4 linked regions of the Macaca fascicularis genome follow. The protein of the gene in region 4 interacts with the protein of the main gene of each other region in a pairwise test. Links are inferred from orthologs where the notes say so. Each region holds a gene or a part of one and is shown on either strand. Other genes may lie near its edges. The genes, in order: FXR2, DVL2, TGOLN2 and AP2M1.

What was found.
Region 1: the proteins of AP2M1 (region 4) and FXR2 interact in binary tests that used the Homo sapiens proteins (3 or more experiments, as listed by UniProt). The link is inferred for Macaca fascicularis from reciprocal best matches to the Homo sapiens genes AP2M1 and FXR2.
Region 2: the proteins of AP2M1 (region 4) and DVL2 interact in a two-hybrid assay, tested with the Homo sapiens proteins (2 studies listed by BioGRID and IntAct). The two-hybrid records come from large-scale screens. The link is inferred for Macaca fascicularis from reciprocal best matches to the Homo sapiens genes AP2M1 and DVL2.
Region 3: the proteins of AP2M1 (region 4) and TGOLN2 interact in a two-hybrid assay, tested with the Homo sapiens proteins (2 studies listed by BioGRID). The link is inferred for Macaca fascicularis from reciprocal best matches to the Homo sapiens genes AP2M1 and TGOLN2.

The regions. Positions count from the first base shown.
Region 1 is NC_088390.1:7,662,755-7,670,311, forward strand, and holds the start of FXR2 (RNA-binding protein FXR2), read right to left. Parts: upstream 4,460-7,557; 5' UTR 4,095-4,459; coding exon 4,014-4,094; intron 855-4,013; exon of another isoform or gene 761-854; intron 1-760. UniProt on the Homo sapiens protein: mRNA-binding protein that acts as a regulator of mRNAs translation and/or stability, and which is required for adult hippocampal neurogenesis. Specifically binds to AU-rich elements (AREs) in the 3'-UTR of target mRNAs.
Region 2 is NC_088390.1:7,278,962-7,286,422, forward strand, and holds the start of DVL2 (segment polarity protein dishevelled homolog DVL-2), read right to left. Parts: upstream 4,921-7,461; 5' UTR 4,666-4,920; coding exon 4,472-4,665; intron 1,153-4,471; coding exon 1,083-1,152; intron 782-1,082; coding exon 636-781; intron 506-635; coding exon 396-505; intron 294-395; coding exon 158-293; intron 28-157; coding exon 1-27. Other genes in the region: PHF23 (PHD finger protein 23), read right to left, coding at 6,031-6,245, 6,337-7,174.
Region 3 is NC_088387.1:36,262,184-36,269,542, forward strand, and holds the start of TGOLN2 (trans-Golgi network integral membrane protein 2), read left to right. Parts: upstream 1-3,206; 5' UTR 3,207-3,233; coding exon 3,234-3,279; intron 3,280-3,510; coding exon 3,511-4,628; intron 4,629-6,438; coding exon 6,439-6,522; coding exon of another isoform or gene 6,523-6,558; exon of another isoform or gene 6,559-6,661; intron 6,662-7,359. UniProt on the Homo sapiens protein: May be involved in regulating membrane traffic to and from trans-Golgi network.
Region 4 is NC_088376.1:96,095,339-96,102,136, reverse strand, and holds part of AP2M1 (AP-2 complex subunit mu), read right to left. Parts: intron 5,931-6,798; 5' UTR 5,888-5,930; coding exon 5,814-5,887; intron 4,006-5,813; coding exon 3,740-4,005; intron 2,679-3,739; coding exon 2,596-2,678; exon of another isoform or gene 2,236-2,595; coding exon of another isoform or gene 2,197-2,235; intron 1,999-2,196; coding exon 1,863-1,998; intron 1,763-1,862; coding exon 1,621-1,762; intron 1,148-1,620; coding exon 1,028-1,147; intron 932-1,027; coding exon 796-931; intron 693-795; coding exon 595-692; intron 124-594; coding exon 12-123; intron 1-11.

The sequences.
Region 1 (7,557 bases), on a different chromosome or scaffold from region 4:
ATCCTCCACCATGTTAGGCTTGGCACCAGGGTGAGTAGCAATATTACCCTAGTTTTTCCAGCTACCATGACTTCCAAGGCAGAAATGCAAAGCTCAGAATGGAGTAATCTCTCACATCACTCGGTAGTTCAACCAAATCTCACTCAACCTTATACTTCCAGAGCCTCTTTCCTTCAATTAAGTCTCCAAAACTAGCTCTGTCCCCAACTTCATATTCCAATCCTGTCTCTGCTCCTAAATTCCACCCATTCATCCCATACCAGTTTTGTTCTCCAAGGGTATCAGTGGTGGAAAGTGAGCCCCAAGTTCTGCTCAGTCTATGCTCATTGTGAAAATAAGCAGGGGAAGGCAAAAACAGGTGGGTGGAATGTGTTAGGGAGCCACCTAGATCCAGAGGATGACTAGATTCAGTGGCCATAGCATCACCTGGCTTTGGCTTCTGGAGCCTGGCACCAAGCCAACAGAGCAAGAGCGAGCCCCAGGTTCCTAGGTACTTTGGTTTCCTCAAATTAGAAGATATAAAATGGGTCCCCACTTTGACTGTTGTCTAGTTCTAGACTCCCAAAGCAAAGGAGGGGGTTCTAGGAGAAGAGCAGGAACAGTCTGAGTAAAAACCAAGTACTGAAGCTGAGGATGCCACGTTGATTAAGAAAGGAATGGGGATTAGGATATCCAGGTGAGGTTCGGAGTAGGATGATTGCACCCTGGAAGGTGAATACTTCATTTGGGAGAGTACAACTTAAAGAATAAAATACATTAGATCATTGAGTACGTCTTAAGCATGATGACTGAGGTTTCAAGCTCACGTGTGATGTGGGCCTCCCTCAAACCTTGTTACAGATGCCAGTCTAACATGAAAAAAAAAAAAACAGAAAAAAAGAGTAAGTTCTGACAAACTTAATGTTGGGATAGCTACAAAATAACTTAGATCCCAGATCTAACATTTTATCCTTTAAGAAAACTAACTGATGGGAGGGCATGGTGGTTCACACCTGTAATCCCAGCACTTGGGAGGCCAAGGCGGGCTAATCACTTGAGGTCAGGAGTCAGAAATCAGCCTGACCAACATGGCAAAACCCCGTCTCTACTGAAAATACAAAAATTAGCCAGGCATGGTGTTGCACACCTGTAATCCCAGCTACTCTGGAGGCTGAGGCAGGAGAATCGCTTGAACCCGGGAGGCGGAGGCTGCAGTGAGATGACATCATGCCACTGTACTCCAGCCTGGATGACAAAAGGAGACCCTGTCTCAAATTTAAAAAAAAAAAAAAGAAGAGAAAGAAAAGAAAACTGACAACAGGGCCCAATTCTGAGAGAGGAGAAAGGGACCTTCCCAATGTACATTTCCAGAAGCAGTGTAAATACTCCCTGACCCATCCCAAGTTTGCTGAGTCATGAATATTAAATCAGCAGCAAGGTCAAAACGGATAAGTATCTATAGGGTACTGAGAGTGGAAGATTAGCCTGAATTTAGGGATTTGTGGTTTTTAACTCAGGAACGGGGCAGAAAATGCTAACCTGCCCAGATCCACATTACCACATTACCTGGCTTTCAGCTCAACCCCAGACTCTACTCTCTGAATCAGAGTATCCTGGTCCCCATGTACTCAAGTCTATCATTGCCCACAGCGCACAGGAGAAAGGGAAAAGATTCAGAGAGACTTTCTGCTGGACACTTATATGTAGAACAGAAAACGTGTCCCTTCCCAGCCATCTCATACAGTTCATTTGAACTGGATACCAATCTTTCCCAGCTGTGCAGGGCTCCTGTGCTTCCTAGAACAAAGCAAACATCATATCTTGATCTTGGACTCAACTTAAGAATGACTTTTCTTGGAACTCAGAATTTTGGGGTGGTAAGGACCCAGATGAAGGAAAAGATACCGAGGGAAACAGGGAGGGCCACTTTAGGAGGCGTATTTCAACAAAGGTAGTGCAAGTTTGGGGAAAAGGATATGAGAGATAAATGTGCTCTATCAAAAGCAGAAAGGAATTAGAGACTTTTGCCAAAAAAAACAGAAATGCTATGGAGGCAGGCTAGAAGAAAAAGTCCCAAGAGTTAGGCAAGTATGCAGAAAATGACAAAAGAGATCAGCAGGGAGCTTCCTTCAGCTAGACAGGGAATTAGGTGATCCCTGGGGATTACACAGGAATACAGAAGTATTAGGAGAAAAAGCCAAAAACTTGAATTGAGACAGTAAGTTAGACATGGGTACCCAAAGTCACCGCACAGAAAGAAATCTGATGAGGGAAGTAAGGCAAAAATGGGTAAGTATGAAGAGTAAGTAAAAAATGACTACAATGGCGCGGTGGCTCACGCCTGTAATCCCAGCACTTTGGGAGGCTGAGGCGGGCGGATCACAAGGTCAGGAGATCAAGACCATCCTGGCTAACACGGTGAAACCTCGTCTCTACTAAAAATACAAAAAACTAGCCGGGCGTGGTGGTGTGTGCCTGTAGTCACAGCTACTCAGGAGGCTGAGACAGGACAATGGCGTAAACCTGGGAGGCGGAGCTTGCAGTGAGCCCAGATCGTGCCACTGCACTCCAGCCTGGGTGACAGAGCCAGACTCCGTCTCAAAAAAAAAAAAAAAGACTACAATGAACTTAGCAACTGAAGTAGAGGCAGAAACCACCCAAGGGAAATTACAAGACCCTCTACAGTTACAGAAAATATGACTTAGGGAAGGAGTCAAAGAAAGACACTTCCAAGGGCATGAGAAACTAGAGAGGGCTACTGTGGGGGGGAAAGGCCTGAGGGGAACAGAAGGAAAGGGGGAAGGGGGATCTACTCTTAACAAGTAATGCCATGGGAAGGTATCTCTTCTACAGCTCCCCAAGGTGAAATCAAAGAATGAGACAGAAATCAGGAGAGTCTCTGGGACAATTCCAGGCATCAAATCCAAAAGAGGTTCAGAATAGCAACAGTCGAAGAAAAACTCTTGGGAGGCAAGAAAGGGTTCTCTCTGGCTTAATCCAAATGGGAAAAAAATGTCCTAGAAAATGGATTCAGAGCAGATAAGGAAGGTGGTATTATAAGGAGTTCTAAGGAACCAAATCCTGGGCAAAGGGGGAGGTCAAATAAGGAAAGGTCTTTGAAAGATGATCCCTTCTTCCAAAAAAGGTTGTCAGATTCCCGAACTGGGATAGTTGGCCAAGAGTCTTCAAGAAGTGGAAATCTTAAGAAAAACAGAAGGGAACCCCATGAGCTTCCTTTTAGAGATCCTTTTAGAGATCATGACTATGAAGCTCACATGCCTCAAGACGAAGAAACTCTAAGAATGACCTGAAGGTATCTGAGGTCTAAGTGAGACCTCAAATCCATTCTGAGTAGAATGGTAGACCAGTGGGCCTTGAGATCAAGGTGTGGTGGGGTGAAAGACTTGCGAAAGATGCCACCTTATGGCTGGCTGAGAAGCAACTTGACTGATCCAACCCAGGGTTCCTGAGGTCAAAGATGCCAAACGTCGTAAATGGATCTGACCATTTCTCCTTGGCTTGGGAACCGGAATATAAGCTGAAAGTGGGGTGAGTGTTCCAGAGTCAGTAGGCAGAGGCCTCTCTGAGGAAGATGAAAGGATCCGATATGGGACAGAGGGGGCCTTCCCAAGGGGACCGTGCAGAAGAAAGACAATTCTCCATGTGCCTGGACCGTGGGGAAGATGTGATTAAGGTCTAAGGTATGTCTTCCATCAGACAACGGAAACAGTCAATTAGAAGCTGGGTAAAGGGGTCTCTCCTGGGGAGCGGGGAGCGCCAAGCCAGGGACAATAATGGCCTGAAGTTCATTCTCCCTGAGATGGGGGTAGAAGCAGGTGCATTAAAGGGCTCAAAAATAAAAGGAACAGGTTCACTCCAAGAGGTCTCTCAGGGAAGGCTGCGGGTGGGAGCAAGGGTCTAAGATTCTAAGGGCCAGGACTCAGCTCCAGAAGCTCGATCCCGCCCCACGCGTTCCTGCTCCGGCCGGGGGAGGGGGCTAAGGACCGGCGTCCCCAGTCGGCGCGCCGTCTCACCTTGTAGAAGGCCCCGTTGGAGCCGCGCACCTCGACGGGCAGTCCCGGCTCCACATCCCCCCCAGAGGCCAGGCCGCCCATGGCGCCGCCACCGCCTCCGACTCCCCCGGCGGCGGCTGCAGCAGCAGTCTGAGTGCGGGCCGGGCCAGGCCCCCGGCGTCTCCCCGGAGGAGGAGCCGGAGGGGGAGCCGCGGGGGGCGGGAGCCGGGCCGGCCCCACGGCGGCCCTGCCACAGCCAACGAGCAGGGGGCCGGGGCCGGGCCGCTCCCCGTCCGCCGCCGCCGCCTTGGTCTCCGCCACCGTGAGGGAAACGGCCGCCGCCGCCGCTGCCTTCGTCACCTCAGCTTCCGCCTGCCGCCGCCCCCGCTGCTGCCTCAGTCCCGGGACCCGCTGCTGCCGCTGCCGCTCCACAGCCTCCACCTCCCCCTGCCACCGCCTCCTACTGCGCAGGCGCACCGGGCACCCGCCCGCTGCGCGCGGGGCCCCGAGGGCCACGGCGCAGGCGTCAAGGTTAGAGCCCCAGCTAGCGCTAGCCAGCGCATCGGGGCTTCCACATTCCCTTTCACTCTCTCACGCCCCCTCCTGGTCGCTTGCTCGCGCTTGCGCAGAACAAAATTAGCCTTCTTTCTCCACCGCCCCACCGCCCAGCAGCCCCGTCTCTTCCTTTCCGCGCCCCACAACCCTGAGAACCAACCAATCAGAGGGAGGGAGGGGCCGGGCTCGCTCAGTCCGATTGGGCGGCGGCCGCACAGTCACACAGCGCTCAGGCCACACCCACGCCGCCGCCGCTGGCCCCACCGGGCTCGGACAAGTTAGGGATGGGCATGCGCCTGAACGACTGCTTGGTCACTTTCCCCACCTTTGTCTTTCTTGGTGCGCACGCTCCAAAAAAAAAAAGAAGAGAAGTCGCCGCAAGGAAAAAGGTGCTCGGTGCGCACGCGCTGAGCTTTACTGTCTGCGCGCATGCATCGCCTATCTTTTAAGAATCTGTAACTGTGCTGTAGTAGATTTAAGTCATAGCTCTTGCCTTGAAGAGATTGTGATACAATGAAAGTTTTGGCCAGGCGCGGTGGCTCACGCCTGTAATGCCAGCACTCTGGGAGGCCAAGGCGGGTGGATCACCTGAGGTCCTCGGATCACCTGAGGTCAGGAGTTCGAGACCAGCGTGGCCAATATGGTGAACCACCCCACCCCCGCATCTAATAAAACATAAAAATTAGTCGGGCGTGGTAGCACGCGCCTGTAATCCCAGATACTCGGGAGGCTGAGGCAGGAGAATCACTTGAACCTGGGAGGTAGAAGTTACAGAGAGCCGAGATCGCGCCATTGCACTCCAGCCTGGGCGACAGAGCAAGCCTCCGTCTCAAAAAAAAAAAGAAAGAAACGAAAGAAAGTTTTAAGAATAGTAGAATAGTTTCGGCCGGGGGCGCTGTGGCTCACTCCTGTAATCCCAGCACTTTAGGAGGCCCAGGCGTGTGGATCACTTGAGCCCCCAAGTTCGAGACCAGCCTCAACAGGGCGAAACCCCGTTTCTATTAAAACTACAAAAATTAGGCCGGGCGCGGTGGCTCACGCCTGTAATCCCAGCGCTTTGGGAGGCCGAGATCACTGGCGGGCGGATCACGAGGTCAGGAGATGGAGACCATTCTGGTCAACATGGTGAAACCCCGTCTCTACTAAAATACAAAAAATCAGCTGTGGTAGTTCCAGCTACTCGGGAGGAGTCCCAGCTACTCGGGAGGATGCGGCAGGAGAATCACTTGAACCTAGGAAGGTGGAGGTTGCAGTGAGCGGGTATCACGCCACTGCACTCCAGCCTGGGCAATGAGTGAAACTTAAAAAATAATAATAATGGCAGTGTGCGATGGCTCACGCCTGTAATCCCAGCACTTTGGGAGGCCGACGCGGGCGGATCACGAGGTCAGGAGATCGAGACCATCCTGGCTAACACGGTGAAACTCCATCTCAACTAAAAATACAAAAAAAAAAAAAAAGCCAGGCGTGGTGGCGAGCGCCTGTAGTCCCAGCTACTCTGGAGGCTGAGGCAGGAGAATGGCGTGAACCCAGGAGGCGGAGGTTGCGTGAGTGGAGATCGCGCCACTGCACTCCAGCCTGGGCGACAGAGCGAGACTCCATCTCAACAACAACAACGACAAATAGTAATAATAATAATAATAATAATAGTGCCCGGGTGCAGTGGCTCACACCTGTAATCCCACCACTTTGGGAGGCAGAGGCGGGTAGATCACCTAAGATTGGGAGTTTGAGACCAGCCTGACCAACATGGAGAAACCCCGTCTCTACTAAAAATACAAAAATTAGCTGGGCATGATGGCCCATGCCTGTAAACCCAGCTACTCGGAGGCTGAGGCAGGAGAATTGCTTGAACCCGGGAGGCAGAGGTTGCAGTGAGCCGAGATTGTGCCATTGCACTCCAGTCTGGGCAACAAGAGTGACATTCTGTCTCAAAAAAAAATAATAATAATAATAAATAATAAACAATTCCGGGGAAATTCAAAATAGGAAAAATTATAATGAAATAATGGTAGTAGCAGGAAAAATTCACATTCTGGGAGTTGTCCTATGTTCCATTCACTTCTTGGATTAGAGTAAATGGTAATGCCAATCATGGAGGACATAACATAGGAGATAAAGGTTTAGAAAATAAGGTGATGGATTATACTAAGTTTTTTTTTTTTTTTTTTTTTTTGCCCTTTGAACTTAGCCACCACATCTGGCTAATTTTTAAATTTTTGTATTTAATGGTGGGGACAAACAGACCTGGAAATCTCTTACTTCTTTTTTTTTTTTTTTTTTTTTTTTGAGGCGGAGTCTTCACTTTGTCGCCCAGGCTGGAGTGCAGTGGCGCCATCTCTGCTCACTGCAAGCTCCGCCTCCCGGATTCGCGCCATTCTCCTGCCTCAGCCTCCCGAGTAGCTGGGACTACAGGCGCCCGCCACCGCGCCCGGCTAATTTTTTGTATTTTAGTAGAGACGGGGTTTCAACGTGTTAGCCAGGATGGTCTCGATCTCCTGACCTCGTGATCCGCCCGCCTCAGCCTCCCAAAGTGCAGGGATTACAGGCGTGAGCCACCGCGCCCGGCCGGAAATCTCTTACTTCATAGTGTGATGGCAGAAGAAAGACACTGGAAAAATTATTAATATTTATAATAATTATTAATATTGCAACCATGGCCAGGCACCGGGCTCATACCTGTAATCCCAGCAGTTTGGGAGGCTGAGGCTGGTGGATCACCTGAGGTCACCTGAGGTCAGGAGTTCAAGACCAGTCTGTTGAAATTCCATCTCTACTAAAAATACAAAAATTAGCCTGGAATGGTGGCATGCGCTTGTAGTCCCAGCTACTCAGGAGACTGAGGCAGGAGAATCACTTGAACTCAGGAGGCAGAGGTTGCAGTGAGCCAAGATTGTGCCACTGCACTCCAGTTTGGGTGACAGAGCAAGACTCTATCTGAAAAAATAAAAATTAAAAATAAAAATAGGCCGGGCGTGGTGGCTCACGCCTGTAATCCCAGCACTTTGGG
Region 2 (7,461 bases), on a different chromosome or scaffold from region 4:
CTGCTCTGCTCCGTGGAGCTGCTGAACCTGCCAGGAGGTTGGAAGGAGAGCAAACGTAGGCCAAAGTGGTCATGGGGCCAAGAGAAAGAACCAGAGGATTGACTGGAGGAGAAGAAAGGGGGCTGGGTGCGCTGGGGAGAGCTGTGCGGAGCCACACCTGCTCATGGTGTCCTCCTCGTCAGAGTCCCCCAGGCTGGTACTCTCCAGCTCACTGGTCATGAGGGTAGAGGAGCTCTCATATCCCGCCAGGTGGCGCTCCAGCCTTGAGGGGCCACCAGTCCTGTGGCCCCCAGCTGCATATGGACAGGAAGCTCAGGAACCAAACTTCCCCCTGCTCACCCCACCAAGGCTGGGGTCTGGCCCAGCCCTTCCCAGCCCCCAGGCCTGCCCCTCACCGCCATGCTCACTGCTGTCTCTCCTGCGAGGCCGCTCCCGCCTCAGTGACACTACTGACTCGGTTTCTGTCTCAGGCTCCAGATTCTCATGGCTGCTGGACACATTAGGGCTGGACAGGCAGAGATGGTTTCCAATCCATATCAGGAGAACAGGGTTCCGGATCCCAGGCGTACCCTACCAAAAGGCCTGGGTTCCCTCCTCACCTCCCTCCCTCGAAGTCAAGAATCAGAAGGACTCACTGAAAGGATGGAGGCCTTGAGTCCCCAATGCCGCTGGTCCTCTCGGGTGGCAAAGGGGGTAAAGGTGGGGCTGGAGGCGCCAGTTCTGCCCGAGGCTCGTGGGCTGGAGGAGCCATCTCGGGTTGGGGATTATCTGAGGACACCAGCTAGAAGGGTGCAAACAATAAACAGTGGCGCTCAGCTGGGAGTCGGGGTGTGACAGGTTGCAGTAAGTGAAAGAACGAAAAAGGGTCTCAGAGAGCTGGAGAAGAGCAAAATAACCTAGCAAGTATTAGAGACTCCAGAAGGAGAAGGCTGAGGGCCTCTCACTGGCTCTCCAAACAGATAAGAGGTAAAGAGCCAGGGCTGCTAATACCTGGCCTGGGAGAGGGCTACAGAAACGGACTGAGGCCTGGGGAAGCTTGGAAATGCAGAGGGGACCCAGCCCTCGGCGTCTGCACCTCTTACCCAGGATACCACCCTTCCGTTGAAGCAGGGGAGGCGGGCGTTGTCATCTGAAATTTCTTCCTTCACCACTCTGCCAAGAGACAAGGTGGAGGTCAGTGAGCTGGACCAACCACCCCCACCCCCACCCCCATCAAAGTTCCTCCCAATCTTCACCGGGCTCCAGGATGCTGACTTTCTCCCGCCCTGTTCAGGTCTTCTCTTACATTGAAAAAACTCACTCTGACACCTAAGAAATCTCCAAACTCAATCCCCTTTCCTTATTTCTCCTCTCCCTAACGCACCCTCAGGGGCGTAGTGCTGCTCCAAAGACTTGACTGAGTCTGATTCAAACCTCTCAGTACAATTTCAAAGGCAATCCCCTATGCTGATGCAGCTGCCTAAGATACCTATCTAATGAGACTGGCTGGTAGCCTCCTCTCAAGCCCATCCCTGTTCCTTACAAACCTTCCAAAAAGGCCGGGCACGGTGGCTCATGCCTGTAATGCTAAAACTTTGGGAGGCTGAGGTGGGCGGATCACCTGAGGTCAGGAGTTCAAGACCAGCCTGGCCAACATGGTGAAACCTCGTCTCTACTAAAATATAAAAATTAGCCAGGCATGATGGTGGGTGCCTATAATCCCAGCTACTCAGGAGACTGAGACGGGAGAGTTGCTTGAACCCAGGAGACAGTGGTTGCAGTGAGCCAAGACTGTGCCACTGCACTCCAGCCTGGGCGGCTGAGCAAGAATCTGTCTCAAAAAAAAAAAAAAAAAAAAAAAAAACCTTCCAAAAAAAGGCTTCGGTCCTCAACCAAGTCTCTACTTTTATACTTGCCTTTAGTTTTCACTAATTCATTTCCAGAAGACTGTCCTTTCTTGAGTAAAAACACCCATTAGAGGCCAGGCATAGTGGCTCACACCTGTAATCCCAGCACTTTGAGAGGCCAAAGTGGGTGGATTACCTGAGGCCAGGAGCTGGCCAACATGATGAAACCCTGTCTCTCCTAAAAATACAAAAATGAGCCGGGCACGGTGGTGCACACTATAATCCCAACTACTCCGGAAGCCGAAGTAGGAGAATCGCTTGAACTCAGGAGGCGGAGGTTGCAGTGAGCCGAGATTGCGCCACTGCACTCCAGCCTGGGCGACAGAGTGAGATTCCACCTCAAACAAACAAAAAACAACAAAAAACAAAACCACCCACCATTAGATCAAACAAACAATGGAAGCTCCTCATTAGACTGAAAGCTCCCAAGGAGAGAGCAAGCTGGCGCTCCCATTCCCCTGTGCCTCATCTGGCACAAAATTCGGCACGAAGCAATCTGCTCAGCCTGACAGATCCCAAAGCCCAGCCTTGGGGTCATCTCTCCAATGGGTTCCCTGTGGTGGACTGGACTTGCCCCTTCTTCTTGACCACGACATCAAACCATGAACACTTACTCTGATCAACACCATGTCCTGGCCACACACCACACACTGACACTTAGGCATTAACAAATACTGTCAACTAAATGAATAAACATATAAAGCATCAGACTCTCTGCCCTGGTTGTTTCTCTCTCTCTTTCCACACACACCCTTGCCGCCAAATTAGGACACCTTGTCTAATTAACCCATTAGCCTAATATGGTCATAAGAGCCAGGATATATATCAACTTAATCCATTTGCTGTCAATGTGACAACACAGCCCAGTCACTACCAATCTGTCTCAGCATCATGTAGGATTCTTCCCAACATAACACAATCTCAGCATAGCTCAGTCCACTCTTAAGACAAATTACTGTGTATCACCATAACCTTTATAGAGTAGTCAGCCTCAATACTAATGACAATTACCATTCACCAAGAATTCACCATGTACCACACACCTGAACTAACCATTTCATTCTGTGATTTTCTCCATGTCACAGACGAGATCAAGACACAAAATTTAAATTAATTGTCCAAGATTGCACTGCTGACAACTAGAAGAACCTTGACTTAAAGCCAAGATAACTCCCAAGATAGTATCACCCTTCCCATGTCAAACAATCTTTCTAGCTAGAGTCCAGTTTGTTCAGTTCTTCTAAAACCCATGCTATCTCAACTTAATCCAGCCTGCCTTCAAAAAAGCAGAGGTTGGGCTGGGCGCAGTGGCTCACGCCTGTAATCCCATCACTTTGGGAGGCCGAGGCGGTCCGATCATGAGGTCAGTAGATCGAGACCATCCTGGCTAACACGGTGAAACTCCGTCTCTACTAAAAAATACAAAAAATTAGCCAGGTGTGGTGGTGGGTGCCTGTAGTCCCAGCTAGTGGGGAGGCTGAGGCAGGAGAATGGCGTGAACCCGGGAGGCGGAGCTTGCAGTGAACCGAGAATCAGCCACTGCACTCCAGCCTGGGCGACAGAGCGAGACTCTTGTCTTTAAAAAAAAAAAAAAAAAAAAAAAGCAGAGGTTGAGGACCCAGAGAGGGCTCAGCCCCAAAGACCATAAACACAAAAGGGCTTTCTCTGCATTATTTACATGCCAATCTAGTCCAAGATAGCCCTGAATGTCCAAATTACCCTAGGATAGCCCAATCTATTCTAGCACAGCCTACAATGTCCCCACACGCAGCTGTCTGCACCAATATAGACTAGAATACCCCAATACAGCTACCTGTACTAGCATGGGCACCAACAGCCTTGTCTGCCCCCATACTGAGTGCTCCAATAAAACCATGTCTTGCCCCAAGATAAACCAGGATTAACCAATACAGCCCAGTAGAGTCCATAATGGCCCAAGTTTGTTTTGTTTTGTTTTTTGGTGTTTTTTTTTTTTTGGAGATGGAGTCTTGCACTGTCGTCCAGGCTGGAGTGCAGTGGCGCGATCTCGGCTCACTGCAACCTCCGCCTCCCAGGTTCAAGCGATTCTCCCTGCTTCAGCCTCCCAAGTAGCTGGGACTACAGGCGCCCGCCACCACGCCCGGCTAATTTTTTTGTATTTTTAGTTAGTACAGATGGGGCTTCACCGTGTTAGCCAGGATAGTCTCGATCTCCTGACTTCGTGATCCGCCCGCCTCGGCCTCCCAAAGTGCTGAGATTACAGGCGTTACAGGACTCCTGAGAACGTACTAAACGACCAGACGATAGATGAATTTACTCAGTACAGTCTAAAACACTCCAAAATAAACCAGTATGCCTCCACCTATTCCAGTAGAGCCTAATCGTCTCTAATCTGGTTTAGGATATCCTAGTCTGCCCGTGTGCCTCAATCTATCCAAGCATAACCTTGTCCATCCTGGGAGAGTCAACCTACCTCAGCATGGTACAATCTGCTCCACCACAGGCCAGAAAATCCTAGTGTGGCCCGAAGTAGATGTGTGCCCCTCCACGTCGCCCAATCCACTCTAGCAAAGCCCCCGTCGGTCCTATCTAGGCCTTGCGCTCACCCGAAATCCTGATCCATAGACTTGAAAAAGTACTTGGCGCCCGCGGGCCGCTGCAGGACGCTCTTGAAATCGCCGAGGGTGATGCGCTCGGCGGGGACAGGGATCTTCACCAGGTATGGAGTCTCTTCCTCATCCAGGTGGTAAATCACCTTCGTCTCCCCAACCCCACCGCCCCCAGCGCTGCTGCCCGCCATGGTCTCGCCCGCGCGCTCCCGGGCTCCACCGCCCACCCAAGGGGCTAATGGCCCCTGCCGCGCCTGCGCACACCCGCAAACCGACGAGCGAGCGCGGACAGGACGGACCCAGTACTGGAGAGAAGCAAAGGGAAAAAAGCAGGGGTCGGCAAGGGTGGCGGCGGGGGGCGGGCCGCGAGGTGCGACTCAAAGCCGCGGTCTCAGCGGCCGCCGCGCGCCACCGCCACCGACAACGCGAGCGTCCTCCAGGTCCCCGCCCACCTCTCCTCATGTCACGTGACCTAAGCCCGCCCACCCCGCGCTCTTCAGCCGCCCCCGTCACGTGACCCCTCCCAGTCACGTGACCGCGTGACTCCTCCTAGTGCCCCCGCCACGTGATCGCTGCCTTCGGCAACGGTCTCCCAGCCCCCAAAGGTGTACCCCAGCCGAGGTCCTCGGAGCACCCAGGATAAGCTGGCCTGTGCCCTCAGGAAGCGGACAGTCGGCTCCCACCCGGCTTTACCCCACACCGGCGGGAGCGCGAAGCAACTCTGACCCTCAGGAGTGTGCGTGCAGGGAGTGAAGGTGGGGATTGTGGGGGTTCCTAGACTCGAGTGGGGAGGGCCAAATACAATGAAAGCTCTGAGGTGGCTTACTCAAGTATCTTGGGGTGGGAGAGGCCCAGTGCTGTGCCATCTTCAGACTGGACTGTGAGAGGTGGCTTTCAGCACCACGTCCAGCTAGTCTTCAGCCACCAAAGCCTCCCTCCCAAGCAGGACAGTGAGGGCTATAAACACAAAAGAGCCCACTCTGCTTTATTTACAACACGCAGGCTGTCTGTACAAACAGCGGCCAATATTATTAAAAACAAAAGAGGTGAGTGAGAATCGTCACCTTTCTGCTTTCCTTCCTTGCTTGGCCAGGCTCTAGTACTCCACCTTTGAGCTGCCATGCCCAGTAGGGGAAGTCCAAAATTAAAAATACAACCGGTGTAGAAGAAAATAAATGGGGAGTGAAATAGAAGAAAAGATGAGGGAGGGGAGTGCTAATATTTACACTAGAGTTTTATAGACAACTGTCCCATTCCATCCCAATTCCAATCCTGACCCAGAAAGTGATGGTGGCAGGTCCAAGAGACAGAGATTATGTGTCTAGAGACACAGACAGCCTCCCACCCGCAACCGTAATGGGTTCAATTTCAAGTTCAGAGTGGGGAGGACGGATAGGGTAGGCAAGTGAGACACTCATTTTCAAACAAGTCTCCCTTGGGAATTCCTGCCTTGAAGTGCGGACAGTATCCAAGCTCCAGGGGGTAGGCTGAGGACCCTGAGGCTCAGTTCCCAAATCATGTTATCATTTGGAAGTTCCAGGCTAAAGTTGGTGCCGTCAGGGCTCTCCAGATTTGGGAGGCCCCCCTAACCGCCGGGCCTCTGGCCTCAGTTCCTTGCATTTCTGGCAATAAAAGAAGTCAGGGACGTTGGTCTTCTTAATCTTAGCACAGGAGAGGTGGATCCACGTCCCACACAGGCTGCACTCAATCATGGGCCGCCCTGCAAAGGGCTTTCGACAGTAACACGTGATCAGATCCCATGAGTCATCACCTGGGGAAAAAAGGTTTGTTTGGTATTCTGCCTGAGCAGTTGTTGGATCCACAACACCCTCAAACCCCTCGCCCCAGCCCAAACCTCTCACCTGATTCTACCATGATGTCCTCATCCATGACCCGCATCTCGCCTTCACTGGAGCTGGCATCTCCATCTTGGCTTGTTTCAGTGCTGCCCACCTCCTTGCTTTCACTGTCAGTAGGAGGGACTCCTTCAGGGTGCACTGTGGCAGGGGGCCTAGGAGCCTCGGGGGGTGTTGGGAGCACAGGGGCTGGGGCTTCACCCCCTACCACTGTTGCCATCTCTTCCTCTTCTTCCTCTTCCTCTTCCTCCTCCTCCTCTTCAGAGTCTGTATCACTGGGGGGTGCCTGGGGAGGCCCAGGAGGTGGGAGTCTATCCCCCCGTTCTGCCTTTTTTAACTTCCGCTTCTTGCTCTTCTTGATTCGAGATCTCTTTTCCCCATCCCCAGGAGTTGGCCGAGGCCTCCGAAGCACCCCAAAGCCAGCCCCAGCTCCTGGCCCCAACTTTCGGTTCTTTCGGTCCTTCTTTCGAGGAGGATGGGAGAGGTCCCCCTGGGAAAGGGGCACGGGGGTAAGAGCAGCAGGGGGCCGGGAGGTATGTGTCAGGGATGTGGGGGACAAAGGAGATGCCACCTTGGGCCCATCGAGATCAAAGAGAGAGTCCTTGAGCTTCATCTTCTCAAGCAAGGTAGCACTGTCGGGGGCCTGCAGACGAGAGAAAGTGGACCTTGGGGGTCCTGGCTGGGTGGGACCTGCTTGGGCTGCCCTTCTCTTGGATGACTTTGCTTTCTTAACAAAAGTCTGGATGGTTCGAAGATCTGAGGGGGCCGAGTCCCAGCCATCACTGTCGGCCGCACTCTCTCCTCGCAATGGAGAGCTGGAGCCAGAGGCGGGCCAGTCACTTTCCTTAAAAGGGGAAAGAGACCAGGGTCAGCAGAACCCCAGTGTCATCTCAGCCCCTCCACAAACCCAGCTTGAAAAGGAGTGACTAGATTTACCCCAAAATGTCCTCTACCTCAACCACTAAATCCCACTGTACTCCCAAAACTTCTCCCCACCCCAATTCCCATCAGCATGTCCTCGTGACCACTCCGTGTTACCTCCACCTTCGAGTCTTGATACCTCACCGCTGCCCCGCCCAGGGCCTGTGGAACACGGTGTCCCCCAGACCAGAGCCTTATGTCCTTAGCTCT
Region 3 (7,359 bases), on a different chromosome or scaffold from region 4:
TCATTTGTTCAATTTGGCTCTGTTCCAGCCTCTTTCCTGCCTTTCTCCTTCTTCTCTATTATCTGACAACTGTAGTCTTTAGACTTACACAAAATACCAGGTTCCCACCTGTCTGCAGACCATTGTATTAGGTTGGTGCAAAAGTAATTGCTGTTTTTGTCAAACGGCCAGAACGCAATTGATTTTGCACCAACCTAATACATGCTGTACACTCAGCCAGGAAAGCTCATCCTCCTCTTCCTTTCCTCTTCACCTGGGACACAGCTATAACCTTCAGTCCTCAGCTTAAGGGTCCCTTCCTCAAATGATCTCATAGTTTCTGTACTTTTCTTTCTGGCAGTTCTTGGAATGTGCATGCACGCACAGATATTTAATATTTATGTACCCCAAAAGATTGCATGCTCCATGAAGTTAATACCTACCTTAAAAACTTGATATAGGGCTGGGCGCAGTGGCTCACGCCTGTAATCCCAGCGTTTTGGGAGGCTGAAGAGGGTGGATCACCTGAGGTCAGGAGTTCAAGACCAGCCTGACCAACGTGGAGAAATCCTGTCTCTACTAAAAATACAAAATTAGCTGGGTGTGCTGGTGCATGCCTGTAGTCCCAGTTACTCGGGAGGCTGAGGCAGGAGAATCACTTGAACCTGGGAGGCAGAGGTTGTGCTGAGCCAAGAACGCGCCATTGCACTCCAGCCTGGGCAACAAGAGCAAAACTCTGTCTCAAAAAAAATTTTTTTTATATAGTTGTACATATTTATGGGGTACATGTGGTATTTTTATACAGGTATACAATATTTAATGACCAAATCAGAGTAACTGGGATATCTATCACCTCAAATATTTATCTATTCTTTGTATCGGGAACATTACAATTCTTCTCTTTTGAAATATACGATGTTATTGTTAACCATAATTTTCCTACTGTATTGACTACAGAACACTTACTCTTTTTATGTATCTGTATTTTTGTACCCATTAACCAACTTCTCTTCATCTTCCCTCTCCTCATCCCCTCCCAGCCTCTGGTAGCCACCTCTACTTTCATGAGATCCACTAGTCTCAGCTACTTGGAAGGCTGAGGTGGGGGATCACTAGAGCCCAGGAGATGGAGATTGCAGTGAGCTGAAGTCGTGCCACTGCACTCAAGCCTGGGTGACACAGTAAGACTGTCTCAAAAAAAAAAAAAAAAAAAGAGATGGGGTCTTGCCATGTTGCCCAGTCTGGTCTGGAACTTCTGGGCTCACACGATCCTCCCGCCTCAGCCTCCCAAAGTGCTGGGATTACAAGAGTATCTATCTCTTTGACATACTTATTTCCTTTCTTTTGGATACATACCCAGCAGTGGGAATACTGGATCATATGGCAGTTCTATTTTTAGTTTCTGAGAAACTCTGTGCTGTTTTCATTTTTTTATAGAGATAGAGTCTTGCTACATTGCCCAGGCTGATTTCGAACTCCTGGGCTCAAGTCATCTGCCTGCCTCAGCCTCCCAAGGTGCTGGGACTACAGGTGTGAGCCTGCATGCCCTGCCAATACTATTTTCCATAATGGCTGTACTAATCTACATTCCCACCAACAGGATATGAGCATTCCCTTTTCTTCTCATCCTTGTCAACATTATGTATTTTTTTTTCTTTTGATAACAGCCATTCTAACTGGGCTAAGATGATCTCTCATTGTGGTCTGGATTTGGATTTCCCTGATGATTAGTGATAGTGAGCATCTTTTCACATACCATTTCTATGTTGGCCATTTGTATGTCATCTTTTGAGATACGTCTATTCAGCAGGTCTTTTGCCCATTTTTTTTTTTCTTTTTTTGAGATGGTTGCCTAGGCTGGAATGCAGTGATAAGATTTTGGCTCACTCACTGCAATCTCCGCCTCCCAGGCTCAAATAATCCTCCCATCCTCAGCCTTCTGAGTAGCTGGGATTACATGCACAGGCCACCATGCCCAGCTAATTTTTTGTATTTTTGGTAGACACAGGGTTTCATCATGTTGCCCTGGCTGGTGCCCATTTTTTAATTACATTTTTTTCCTTGAGTTTCTTATATATTCTAGTTATTAATCCCTTGTCGGATGGATAGCTTGCGAATAGTTCTCCCATTATGTAGGTTGTTTCTTCACTGTTTCCTTTGCTGTGCAGAAGCTTTTTAACTTGATGTAATCTCATTTAAGACCTATCATTTCTTAAATGACTGTCTCCTAAGCACCAAGCCTGGCAATCGTTCATAAAGTGATTTCAAACATTTAATGTATAAACATAACAGTAACTGTAAACGGTGGGATACAAAACCATTTACCTGATTATCCCAATATGCGGAGAAAATAAATCTGCATAGAAGAAAAGAGAAATACACTAATTAAGAAGGGAAAGTGTCCTTTTTTTTTTTTTTTACAAAACTAAATGGAAACATAATAAACTAATGTAAGCGGTAACCTGTGGAGGAGTAGGAAGACTCTTCTAAGAAAGGTCTATTTACTTTAAAATCTGGTTATCATTTCTGAAACATTATACCGTATTATCTATTCAAAAAACATTAAATGTTTAGAGGGCAGACAATACACTAAAACATTAATAGTGATTATCCCGGAAGGGTGGCAGTCAGGTTTTGTTTTCTGCTTCTGTACTTTTACGACCAGAAAAAGGCTGCACTTTTTGGAAAACATGTTTGGCGACCTCGGAGAACACCGTCTCTGTGGAGGCGGGAAGGAGGAGGGCCGGGATGCGAAGGCAACGCTTTGTAGGTGATCGGATGGATTTGTTCCCACATGGGAGAGACCAGAGCACCGCATGTTTGTATACTACCAAGAGGGAAACACGAAAAAAGCAGAGCATAGAAACGCAAGCACAGGATGGTGGTGGCCAAGAGGCTCCTGCCCCTAGCGGCCTCACTTCCGCGGCCAGTGCGAGAGGCCAGGGAGCTCCAGCTCTGCCTGTAAGGTCTCGGAAGTACGCAGCGGAGAGGACGAAAAACGGAGGGCCAGTCTGTTGCGGCTGTGGTAGAGACGAGAAACCAGGAAGAAGAGGCTCACCTTCCACTCAGCGACCGTAACCACCGCAGCGGAAGGCGAGCGTAGACATCAGCAGCAGCGGCCCCCGCAAATCTCGCCCTTTGTCTTGGCGGAAGCCGGAGACGGAAAGACGCGCGCAGCAGGGGCGGGACTGGAGAGGGGCCCCGCGCGCGGATCTCGCGAGAGCGTTAGAGGGCGGAAGCGCTATTCGAGCAGGATGAGGTTCGTGGTTGCGTTAGTCCTCCTGAGCGTCGCAGCGGCTGGTAAGACCCTCTATCCAGCATCCCACTCTTGCCCCCAGATCCCCCATTCTCACCTGGGCAGGTAACTTCTAGGCTCGCTTCTTCCCTGCCCGACCCACCTCTCCGCTCGCCATCATCTCCCGCCCCACCCCCCAATCCCTGTTTCCCCGCTGCTCCCAATATCTTCCAGCTCTGAGGAGTTCCTTCTTCCGGCCTGCCCTTCTCTGGTGCTAAGTCGTTTTTCTATTTTAGGAGCCGCGCCGCTCTCGGACACCGCAAGTGTCAAGAAAGAAGAAGCTGGAGTTCGGCCTTCTACAGAAAACGTCTCTACTTACCCCACCTTGAGCCAACGGCCTGGAGGCTCTACCAAGTCGGATCCGGAGCCGCACACTTCAGTAGACAGCCCTAGCAGTTCGGATCCAGAGCCGCAGACTTCAAAAGACAGCCCTCGCAAGTCGGGTGCGGAGGCGCAGACCCCAGAAGACAACCCCAACAAGTCGGGTGCGGAGGCAAAGACCCAAAAAGACAGCTCTAGCAAGTCAGGTTCGGAGGCTCAGATCACAAAAGACAGCTCCAGCAAGTCGGGTGCGGAGGCAAAGACCCAAAAAGACAGCCCTAGCAAGTCGGGTTCGGAGGCGCAGACCACGAAAGACAGCACTAGCAAATCGGGTGCGGAGGCGCCGACCACAAAAGACGTCCCTAATAAGTCGGGTGCCGACGGCTCTAGCAAGTCGGGTGCGGAGGATCAGATCCCAAAAGACGTCCCTAACAAGTCAGGTGCGGAGAAGCAGACTCCCAAAGACGCCGCTAACAAGTCCGGTGCAGAGGAGCAGGGCCCAATAGACGGGTCTAGCAAGTCAGATGCGGAGGAGCAGACCCCAAAAGACGGCCCTGGCAAGGTGGTTCCAGAGCAGCCTTCCAGGAAAGACCATTCCAAGCCCGTCTCCAACCCTTCTGATAACAAGGAGCTCCCCAAGGCTGACACAAACCAGTTAGCTGACAAAGGGAAGCTTTCTCCTCATGCTTTCAAAACCGAATCTGGGGAGGACACTGACCTCATTTCTTCCCCGCAGGAGGAAGGTAAGTCTTCAGAGCCTACTGAGGATGTGGAGCCCAAAGAGGCTGAAGATGATGATACAGGACCCGAGGAGGGCTCACCGCCCAAAGAAGAGAAAGAAAAGATGTCCGGTTCTGCCTCCAATGAAAACCGTGAAGGGACACTTTTGGATTCCAGGGGTAGCGAGAAGGATGACCATTATAGGGAGAGTTCTGGAAATGCCAGCGCGGAGAGCAGCCACTTCTTTGCATATCTGGTGACTGCAGCCATTCTTGTGGCAGTCCTCTATATCGCTCATCACAACAAGCGGAAGGTAGGTCTAGAGCGGCCTTCGGGAGGGGAGTGGGGTTTCCAGCACCCTGGAAGCTTGGGTTTGGGTGGGTATCCTATCACTGGATGCCCGTGAGCACTGGGGACTTTAAAACAAACTTCAGTTTTTTTCCTCGGGCCCCATTAGGCCTTTTTACTCTTGTTTTGTGAATCGTGTTTTCATCCTGTCATCTATTTACTTTGAGTGTCCTCTGCTACTGCATTAGGAGCCAAGTTAGGCCATTATTAGGATCTGACCTGAGGTGGAATCTCCTCCCATAACTTTGCACTTGGGCCCTTCACAGCCTCAGAGGACCTGAGTACTTGACAGTTAAAGCACGTACCTTCCATACTATTTCCATTCTTGAGACGACATATCATTTCTAGTTTCCTTTCCCAACATTCTCTCTTCCATCAGTGGCACAAAGAATAGTTTCAATTACTGCATCTTCAATACCAGCAACAAGGAGCCCAGGGACTTCTGCAATTAATAATAATTAGAAGAAAGCCCAGAAATTGCACAGACATGTACACCTGTGACTTTTTCAGCAGGGTTTGGTCTGTTTATTAGCAACCACTCTAATGACAAAATGATTGCATTTCATATTGAGCCCCCAAAATTTAGAAGCTAGTTTCTGTAACCTGCTTAAAATTGGAGAGTCCATTTCTGGCCATGAGGCCTGTGGCTAGAAAGAATAGAGGGGAAGACCTTTAGTAAAAATGTGCATTCCTGGCTGGGTGCAGTGGCTCATGCCTGTAATCCCAGCACTTTGGGAGGCTGAGGCGGGAGGATCGCTTGAGCCCAGGAGTTCGAGACCAGCCTGGCCAACAAAGCGAGACCTCGTCTCTACATACAATAAAAAAAAAATTAGCCAGATGTGGTGGACGTGTGTGGGCCCAGCTAGTCTGGAGGCTGAAGTGGGAGGATGGCTTGACTGTGGGAGGTCGAGGCTTCAGTGAGCCATGGTCACGCCACTGCACTCCAGCCTGGGTGACAGAGTGAGACCTGTCCTCAAAGAAAAAAAAGTGCATTTCTTTTTTTTTTTTTTTTGAGACGGAGTCTCACTCTGTCACCCAGGCTGGAGTGCAGTGGCCGGATCTCAGCTCACTGCAAGCTCCGCCTCCCGGGTTTACGCCATTCTCCTGCCTCAGCCTCCCGAGTAGCTGGGACTACAGGCGCCCGCCACCATGCCTGGCTAGTTTTTTTTGTATTTTTTAGTAGAGACGGGGTTTCACCTTATCAGCCAGGATGGTCTCCATCTCCTGACCTTGTGATCCGCCCGTCTCGGCCTCCCAAAGTGCTGGGATTACAGGCTTGAGCCACCACACCCAGCCAAAAAAGTGCATTTCTTATTCTATGTCCAGGTGTCCATTATGCAGGGTAACCTTGGTCATGAAATGAGAGTGACAGAGAGTATAGTTGATGTAGCAACGTGGGATGAAAGAGTACATTTGCAGATAGGAAATTCTGATTATGATTATTTTTAAAGGAATGTCCTATTGTAGATATCTCTAGGAAGGAGTTGATAGATCTTTGACTTGTGTACCTTTGAATGAATCATACAGACTTCCTCCCACACGCTAGAACTCAGACAGCCTTCTATTTGTTATTTCCTATTAAGCGATACAAAAGATTCTGATGTAATTAGGCTCTGTCTTTCTTAAACTGGTTAAAGTTTAAATAGACCTCTGTGAGTGTACTGCTCTTTCTACAGTCAGGGTCATTAACAAATATGCTACCAGGTGACTGCCTCTGATTTCAGAGACTGAACTATGTCATTACTTGTTAATCATTTTCTTTTTCTTTTCCTCAGATCATTGCTTTTGTCCTGGAAGGAAAAAGATCTAAAGTCACCCGGCGGCCAAAGGCCAGTGACTACCAACGTTTGGACCAGAAGGTAAGGAAGGAGGAGCCAGGTCCACGGGAGGGATAGTTAACGTTAGATGGACCCAGTAGTGGGCTTGCGTTTGCCATGGCAGCAGTGGCCGATTCTGGGGGTGCTGTTGCTGTTGCATTCGCCCTTTTTAGACAACAAACTAGAAACATCTAGATACACATATCTCTGACGTTAGAGCTAGAAGAGACCTTCGAATACTCTACAGCAGCTCCCTCCCTTGACAGATGAGGAAATAGGCCCGCACAGAAACATTCATTTTTTTTTTCCGCTAAGTTTCTACTGCAAGTTAGTGGCAAAATCAGGACCTGATAGCAACTCCCTGGTCTCCCAGTCTTGAGCTTTCTGCATTCTACCAGCACTCCATAAACTTTAATAGGCATTTGAATCACCTTGGGGAATTTTGATAAAAAGCATTGTCTGATTCATTTGATGTGGGGTGGAGCCTATATTTCTACATTCTTTTTTTTTTTTGGAGGCAGAGTTTCGCTCTTGTTGCCCAGGCTGGAGTACAGTGGTGCAATCTCGGCTCACTGCAACCTCTGCTTCCTGGGTTCAAGCTATTCTCCTGCTTCAGCCTCCCAAGTAGCTAGGATTACAAGTGCCACCACCATGCCCAGCTAATTTTGTATTTTTGGTAGAGATGGGGTTTCTCCATGTTGGTCAGGCTGGTCTTGAACTCCCAACCTCAGGTGATCCACCTGCCTCAACCTCCCAAAGTGCTGGGATTACAGGCATGAACCACCATGCCCAGCCTAGGCATGGTGGAAGTTCTCAGGTGAAACCAAATGCCACTGGATCCACACTTTATGTGGTAAAGCACTAGACTACGCTCCCTGA
Region 4 (6,798 bases):
CTCTGCCATACCTCAAAGTTCATGGAAATGGGGGGTCGAGCCCATTTCTTCTTGTCGTTGGTAGGCAGAAGCTCAATCTCTGCGCTGATCTGCGATTCCTTCATGCCTGCCATGCGCTTGATCCTAGGAACACAGGGACAACAGGCAGCCCATTGTAGCTTGGAGAAGTTTCAAGGGCAGTTGCCCATTTTAAGGAGCACGCCCAGGAGCTTGCAGGAGGTGCCACAACAAGAAGTGGTCAGGACCCTGCTAACTACTTGCTATGGAAGCTTGGGTCTACTTCTTTAGGACAACAGGATGCAGTTTCTGCCTAGACACTTGGGCATGCTATCTTTGCTTTGTCAGCTTCACAGATACATTACAAAGGCAAGCAGGGAAATGCCAAAGCATCTTAAAAAATAAGCACGTGCATGAACCCAAATGCAGGCGTGTACATACTCACATGGAGGCATAAAGGCTGACAGTACAAGCAGAGGCTCCTAGAAAAGCAAAGAGGCACACTCCCCCACCCCTCATTCAGAAGGATCAAAGGTGAAAACAAGAGGGTACACTGGGATCTTGAACCTGCTGTGGCCTAATGAAGGAAAGACTCACTTCCACACGATGGCATTCTCGCTGGCCTTGTACTTGGCCTTCCCCTTCATGCAGATCACCTGCACCCCACTTGTGTTCAGTGGGGTTGGGATCCTCACCTAGAAGTGACACACCTGTCAGGGAGCTCTGTCAAGCTGTGACATCAGCTGCCTTTATTCCTAGGGACAAGTTCTTCCTCCTCCCCAAGCCCCCTGTCCTCACCTCAATCTTCTGAGCCAGGAGTGAGGGTTTAAAGTTGGACTTGATGACCACCTTGACCTCCAGTTTGGTGCGTCCCACTTCTCGCACTAGCGGGATCACCCGGAAGGGAAGGATGATGTCCTTGGTTGTGCGATACCTTAAGGGATGGGAAGCAAGGTTACCAAAGAGCTGACCCACTTCCTCTCCCCAATCTGCCAGCAGCACTGGCTGCCTCTTCACACCCCAATGGCACCTCATAAGCTCAAACTCTCCATCTGGTGGGATAAAGCTGATGCTGCGTTCAGAGTCAAACTTGCTGAGTCGTACACACTGGTGGAAGGTGCAGTCATCAATGGCAATTGATTGCTTCCCACTGCAAGCAGGGGCAGAAGAGGAGGTCTCATTGGTACAGGAGAATGACAGGTGTCACGCTGGGAGACCACTCCACCCCAGGCTGGCACCAGAGACTATGAAAAGCTGCTAGAATGCAGCTTTCTGACTCAGAGGTCTGCCCCAGAGCTTGGGATGAGAGGGAAACCTTGTAAACTCATCTCTTGGGGGCCCTGCTGCTTGGGACCTGGGTGTTTCAGGCACACTGGGCAGAGGAGGCTATCAGTATGTACAGAAGAGGCCTTGGTCCTAGGGACCAAAAAAAGGGGCTTGCTCTGAGGACAGTCCCCTCATCTCTCTTAGCACCAATGTCAAGAGCGAACAGCCAGGCTTACCGTCAGGAACAGAGTTTGCAATTACAGTGGGAATGAAATCCAGAAGAAACTTGTGGTTCACTAGACCCCACCGAGCCCTCCAAGGGACACCCTTTCCCACCAGCTCTCCTGCCTCAGGCACCTCTTGCTTGTTTCATCAGCTGTGCCTTTGCCCTGCTTTTCAATAACAATCTTGTCATTCATCCCAAACTTGCATTCAGGCATGCCACTCAGGTAGCTCTTCATCACCACCCGGCCCGACACATGGGCACTCAGCACCTGCCCTGATGATGGAACAGATAAATGGGGAGCAGCAGAGTCAGGCAGGCAGACCCAGGATCCTGCCCTGGTCCCCCTCCAGCTTTGTTGTGAGAGGGACCTCACCTTGTGGGGACATGAGCAGGTTCACACTCTCCAGCACATCCAGGAAGAGCTCATTCCGGCGATACTTGATACCCTCTCGCCGCCAGCCAATCTGCCCAGTCACCTGGCTGGTGATCTGTGACTGCTCTTCTTTTGTCTACATGGGAGCAGAAACAAACAGCAAGAGCCTCACTCCCCTCTCCCTTTAATCATCCTGTCTCTATCCCCACTCCACCCTCATTCCCCATCCCTTCTAGTCCCCACCTGTAATCCATTTTCCCCTATAAGCCCCAAAGGGCAGGGCCTGGAGAAACAAAGCAAAGCTGCAAGGGCGGAAGCTAAGGGAAGGGCTTACCTGATGCTGGAGGCCGCAGGGCCAACGAGGTGCCCACATGAAGTAGCAAGGGAGGCAGAAAAGGAGGAGAAAGCTATGAGGCTTGGATCCTATAGGAGAGGGCCCAAGCTCTCTCCTCCTGAGGAACACCAGGCCTCAAGACCAGGCCTCCTCCCCCAACCCTCAGTGCAAAAGGAAACTGCTTGAGCTGTATTCCTGGTAACAGAGATGCTGAATTGGCTGCTCCTGCAGTGGGAGGACCACATAGAGCAAAATAGGCCTGCAATCATGGCAGGAGGCTCAGGCCAGCACTTCCTGTTATGGGAGGGCTTATGAGTCAGCTCAGACAAGGCTCAGGGGCCAGCTGAGATGAAGGGAGATTGGCCTGCACCCTGACTATAGTCTGCACAATTCAAGTACCTGACTCTTGATGCCCTGCTGCGTGATGAAGGTTTTCAGCGCGCCTGTCTCGGAATTCTGTGGATAGCCAAAGTCTAGAATCTCTGAAAAAGAAGGGAACCATCAGCCCCTGAACAAACCTTCTCATTCCAGTCCCTACTTGGGCCTACACATGTCTGACTGGCACAGCTCCCAAAGACCATGTGGGATCATCTGCAACAAAGTCTTCTAGCTTTGTAGCATTTATTCTGTGATTTGTGCTTTACAGGAAAACAATTCAAATGTTTGATTTTTTCAAATAGAGAAATCAAGGCCAGGCGCAGTGGCTTATGCCTATAATCCCAACACTTTGGGAGGCCAAGGTGGGAGAATCACTTCAGCCCAGGAGTTCAAGACCAGCCTGGGCAACATAGCGAGACCCAGCTCTACAAAAAATAGTAAAAATGAGCCAAGCATGGTGGCATGTGCCTGTGGTCCCAGCTACTCAGGAGGCTAAGGCTGGAGGATTGCTTGAGCCTGGGAGGTCAAGGCTTCAGTGAGCTGCGATTACACCACTGCACTCAGCATAGGCGACAACAGTAAGACCCTGTCTCAAAAAAAAAAAAAAAAAAAAAAGAAATCAATAGAAGAGTCACATGGCCAGTGGGTGGCAAATCAAGAAGCTTTGAGCTGTTTTCTCCAGAAAATAGACAATGGGAAGGTGGAAGGATTCACCTTCCCTTAGATCACACTCTACAGAGAAACAGAGGTAACAGTGCACCCCCAGAGGCTTGTAGTATCTCAGTCTCCCCCAGGCTCTGAAGCAGCTGCTGAGATGGAAAACTGGGTGGACAGTCAGTGAAGTAAGGTCCAAGCCACAAAGGAAAGAGGATGAATACAGGAGGCTCACCACCAAACCTGAGTCAGGTTCCTAGCCCCGTGGAAGACCAAAACTTCCCCTCCACACCTGCTGGCCTATTTCTGTGTTCTACTTCAGACCAGCCTTTAGGTTTGGATGTGAACTGGCCTTCTGAGGGGCATAGAGATCCTAGTCCAAGAGCCCAGATACTCAGGAAAGAAAGTTCAGAGTGTACCAGAGCCTCGGACCTACACCCACTTTCAGGCCAGGCCCAGCCTGGTTCTTTCCCACCCTAGGCCCCCTGCCCTGCCAGCCCACCAGCCTCACCATCCAGCAGCTCATATATGAGTACAAAATTGTTCTTGATGTTTTCCTCGCTGATCTTGCCAAAGTAGGCAGCCATCACGTCACACATCTTATAGAGGAATTCGAAGACCATGGCAGCGTTGACATTCTGCTTGGTGACTGCTGCCAGCCAAATGTTGGACCGCTTAACGTGGAAGAAGCTGGTGCGAGCAATGTTGGTGACGGGGCTGCGCACCTGCTGCCGGGCATGGATAACATTGACCCGAAAGGCATCCACTGCGTTCCTCCTGAGGGGAAAGGGTGCACAGGGCCTGCTCAGCACCCAGGCGAACCTTACCCCACAAGGATCAACCACAGCTGTTAACAGCTCCACCCACCTTTCTGCAGAAGTCTGACACACACAATCTAAAGAAAGCCAATGCCTAAACCACTGGGGTGGTTCCCTTCTTATGACTCCCTGTGGAGGCATGGGAAGAGTGCCTGAGCTGGGCTAGTGTCTAAAGGCCACAAGAAATAGGGAAGTCAACTATTAAGGCCGATGTAACCTTAATAAAGTGAGGTTCATCAGGTTTAGAGACAGATATTCTTGACTCCCAGGGCTGGCCCTAATTTCCCAGCTTTATCTAGCTTCCCTGTAAGCTCCCAGGTCCAGGACAGAAAGAGACACTGCTTCTCCAGTCCTCCCACTAGTGATCCCACCAGTGGGGAGGGCCGACTCCTCCAGATGTTATACAAAGCCAGCATGGCTTCAGAAGTCACAAAGGAGGAAGTACCAAGGGGCCATGGAACTGTGCTACCCATTCTTGCCCAGGATCCAACTCCAGAGCAAGTTCAGGGAATGAAAAAGGATGCAGGAAAACAATGATGGGGGCAGGGCCCCCACCCACCTGTACCTGGGCAGCAGCTTGAGAGGCCGCTTACCTATTGCTACGGCAGTCAATGAGATGGGATGAGAGAAATGACGCCAGCAAGAAGAGGAGAGTGACAGCAACGAGAGAGAGGGTTAGACACACAACACACCGGGAGGGCAGCACACACCGTGAGGTGGAAGCAGACAAGACAGGCAAGGTGGCGTGTGACCCAGCCTTGGCTTGCCTAGTCCATCCAACGCAGGAGGGGGGCCGGGGGTGGGGGTGGGGGGTGTAGCCAGCCAGATTCAGGCAGGCCAGACCTTGCCACAGCTGCAGCTCTAACTCATGCCACACCACCAGCCAATGGACAAACACCCGCAAGGGCCAGGCCAGCCCATCAGCCAGGGAGCCAAATGAGGAGCACTGCCACAGGCCCATTCTGTGACTTTATCTCAAGCTCTCTGAGGAAGAAAAACAGGCAGCAGGAACCAGAGGAGCCTAATCTCATTAGCGCCTCGGAGGCTAGGATAGGTCCAGCGTGTGCAAGGGGGTGCAGAATGAGAAGGCAGGCTGTGGCTCTGTGTGAAGGCCCAGGATATGGAGCCGCTCTGGGTCTACTCTGATAAACCAGAGAGGGTAGCATGGCCTCCCTGCCCTTTCTTAGTGACCCAGAGAGTGCCTCACGCTCCCTCCCAGCCTCTCCCCCAGGAATGGCCCAGAGGAACTGAAGACAGCTGAGTCAGCAGCCTGACTCCTGAGAAAGGGAGCAGGAGAGGATTGGGTAGCCTGGAGAGGCTTTCAATAGAATCCAGTGAAGGCGCTTGATATGAGAAGGGCTTCTCAGAGCAAGGCTTAGATGGATTAGTGTCTCCAGCCTGGCCACTAACCCCACCCACTAGAGATATTTCTCCTTCTCCTCAAAGAAGAAATTCACCAGCCTGGGCAAAGGCACTCATCTCCAGCAACCAGGCCTGTATAGAGAAACAGGATGCAGGAAGGGCAGGCGTTCCTAAAGCTGTGGGACCATGCCATTCCACGGGTCCCACCTAGGGGCCAGCAGGCTGGCTGCCGGGTGAATACCACCAGACCTAATGGGAGCCAGGCTACACTAGCTGAGCTTCCAGGGTGCAGCCAGGGGTCAGGGTGGTCCAAGTCAAGCCTCTGGTGAGAAGAGACCTAATCCTGCATGCTGGGGCTCGGGGGCTGGAGTGGTGGGGCACAGCTGGCTCTGCCAGAGGACTCACCCGATGTCATCTCGGTAGACTCGAGAGATGAGCACCTCCCCCTTGTGATTATAGATGAATAAGCCTCCAATCATGGCGGCAGATCAGTCTCCGCGGCCCATTGCTCTGAGAACAGACCTAGGACAGGCGGGGGCGGGGTAAAAGAAGACCTCAGAATCCCTGCCAACATCCCCTGTGGAGCTGTGCAGATCACTGGAGCTTTTTTCCTGACTCAACCCTTTAGCAAGTGACCCTGCAGCCCTCCCAGACATGCCCCTCCCCTCAGCTAGGCTCCAGTTCCTGTTTATTCCACACTGGATGGGAGAAAGAAACTGAGAGAGATTAGGCTCAGGACTCTAAGGCCATTTTGACCCTCCGTTTCCTGGGGCTGAGCATCAGCAACCCCGCCCCCTCTCTCCAGCACTGAGCTCAGGAATGATCCTTTTCGGCCTCCTCCTGTGCAGACTCTCAGGCTCCGGCCAGTGAGTCACTAAGGCCTGCCTGCCTGCGGCTGCAGGAATGGCGGTAGGAATTACTCCAGTTGGTTCAGGCCTGGGGCCCCCAGGCATAACCTTTAGAGCATCCAGTCTCTCGGGCTCCACTACCCTTCAGAGAAGGTCGCAGGGCCTGAACTTCCGGCACTCTAATTCACAGAATTCAAACATTCCAAGAAAGGGTGTGAGGAGAAGAGAAGGGAGCCCTTAGGCCCTAATGTGGACCCGGGAGTGTGGCTTAACCTCTTCCAGGCAGTGGAATAAGCAGGCAAAGGGCAAAGGAGGAAGGTCCTAGTGCTGGCAGACTACACCTCCATCACCTAAGCTGCTTATTACAGTTATTTCTGACTACCACCCCCCTTTCAAAAAGCTCTGGAATGCAATAAAAGTAAGGACTGGGGGGGTGGGGGTAGTGCAGGCACATAAAATTAAGAAATCCTTCCATCTGAAATCGTGATTCCAGGCCCATCAAGTAACTCATTTCTGGCCTGGGTGCCTATAAACAAGAAGCA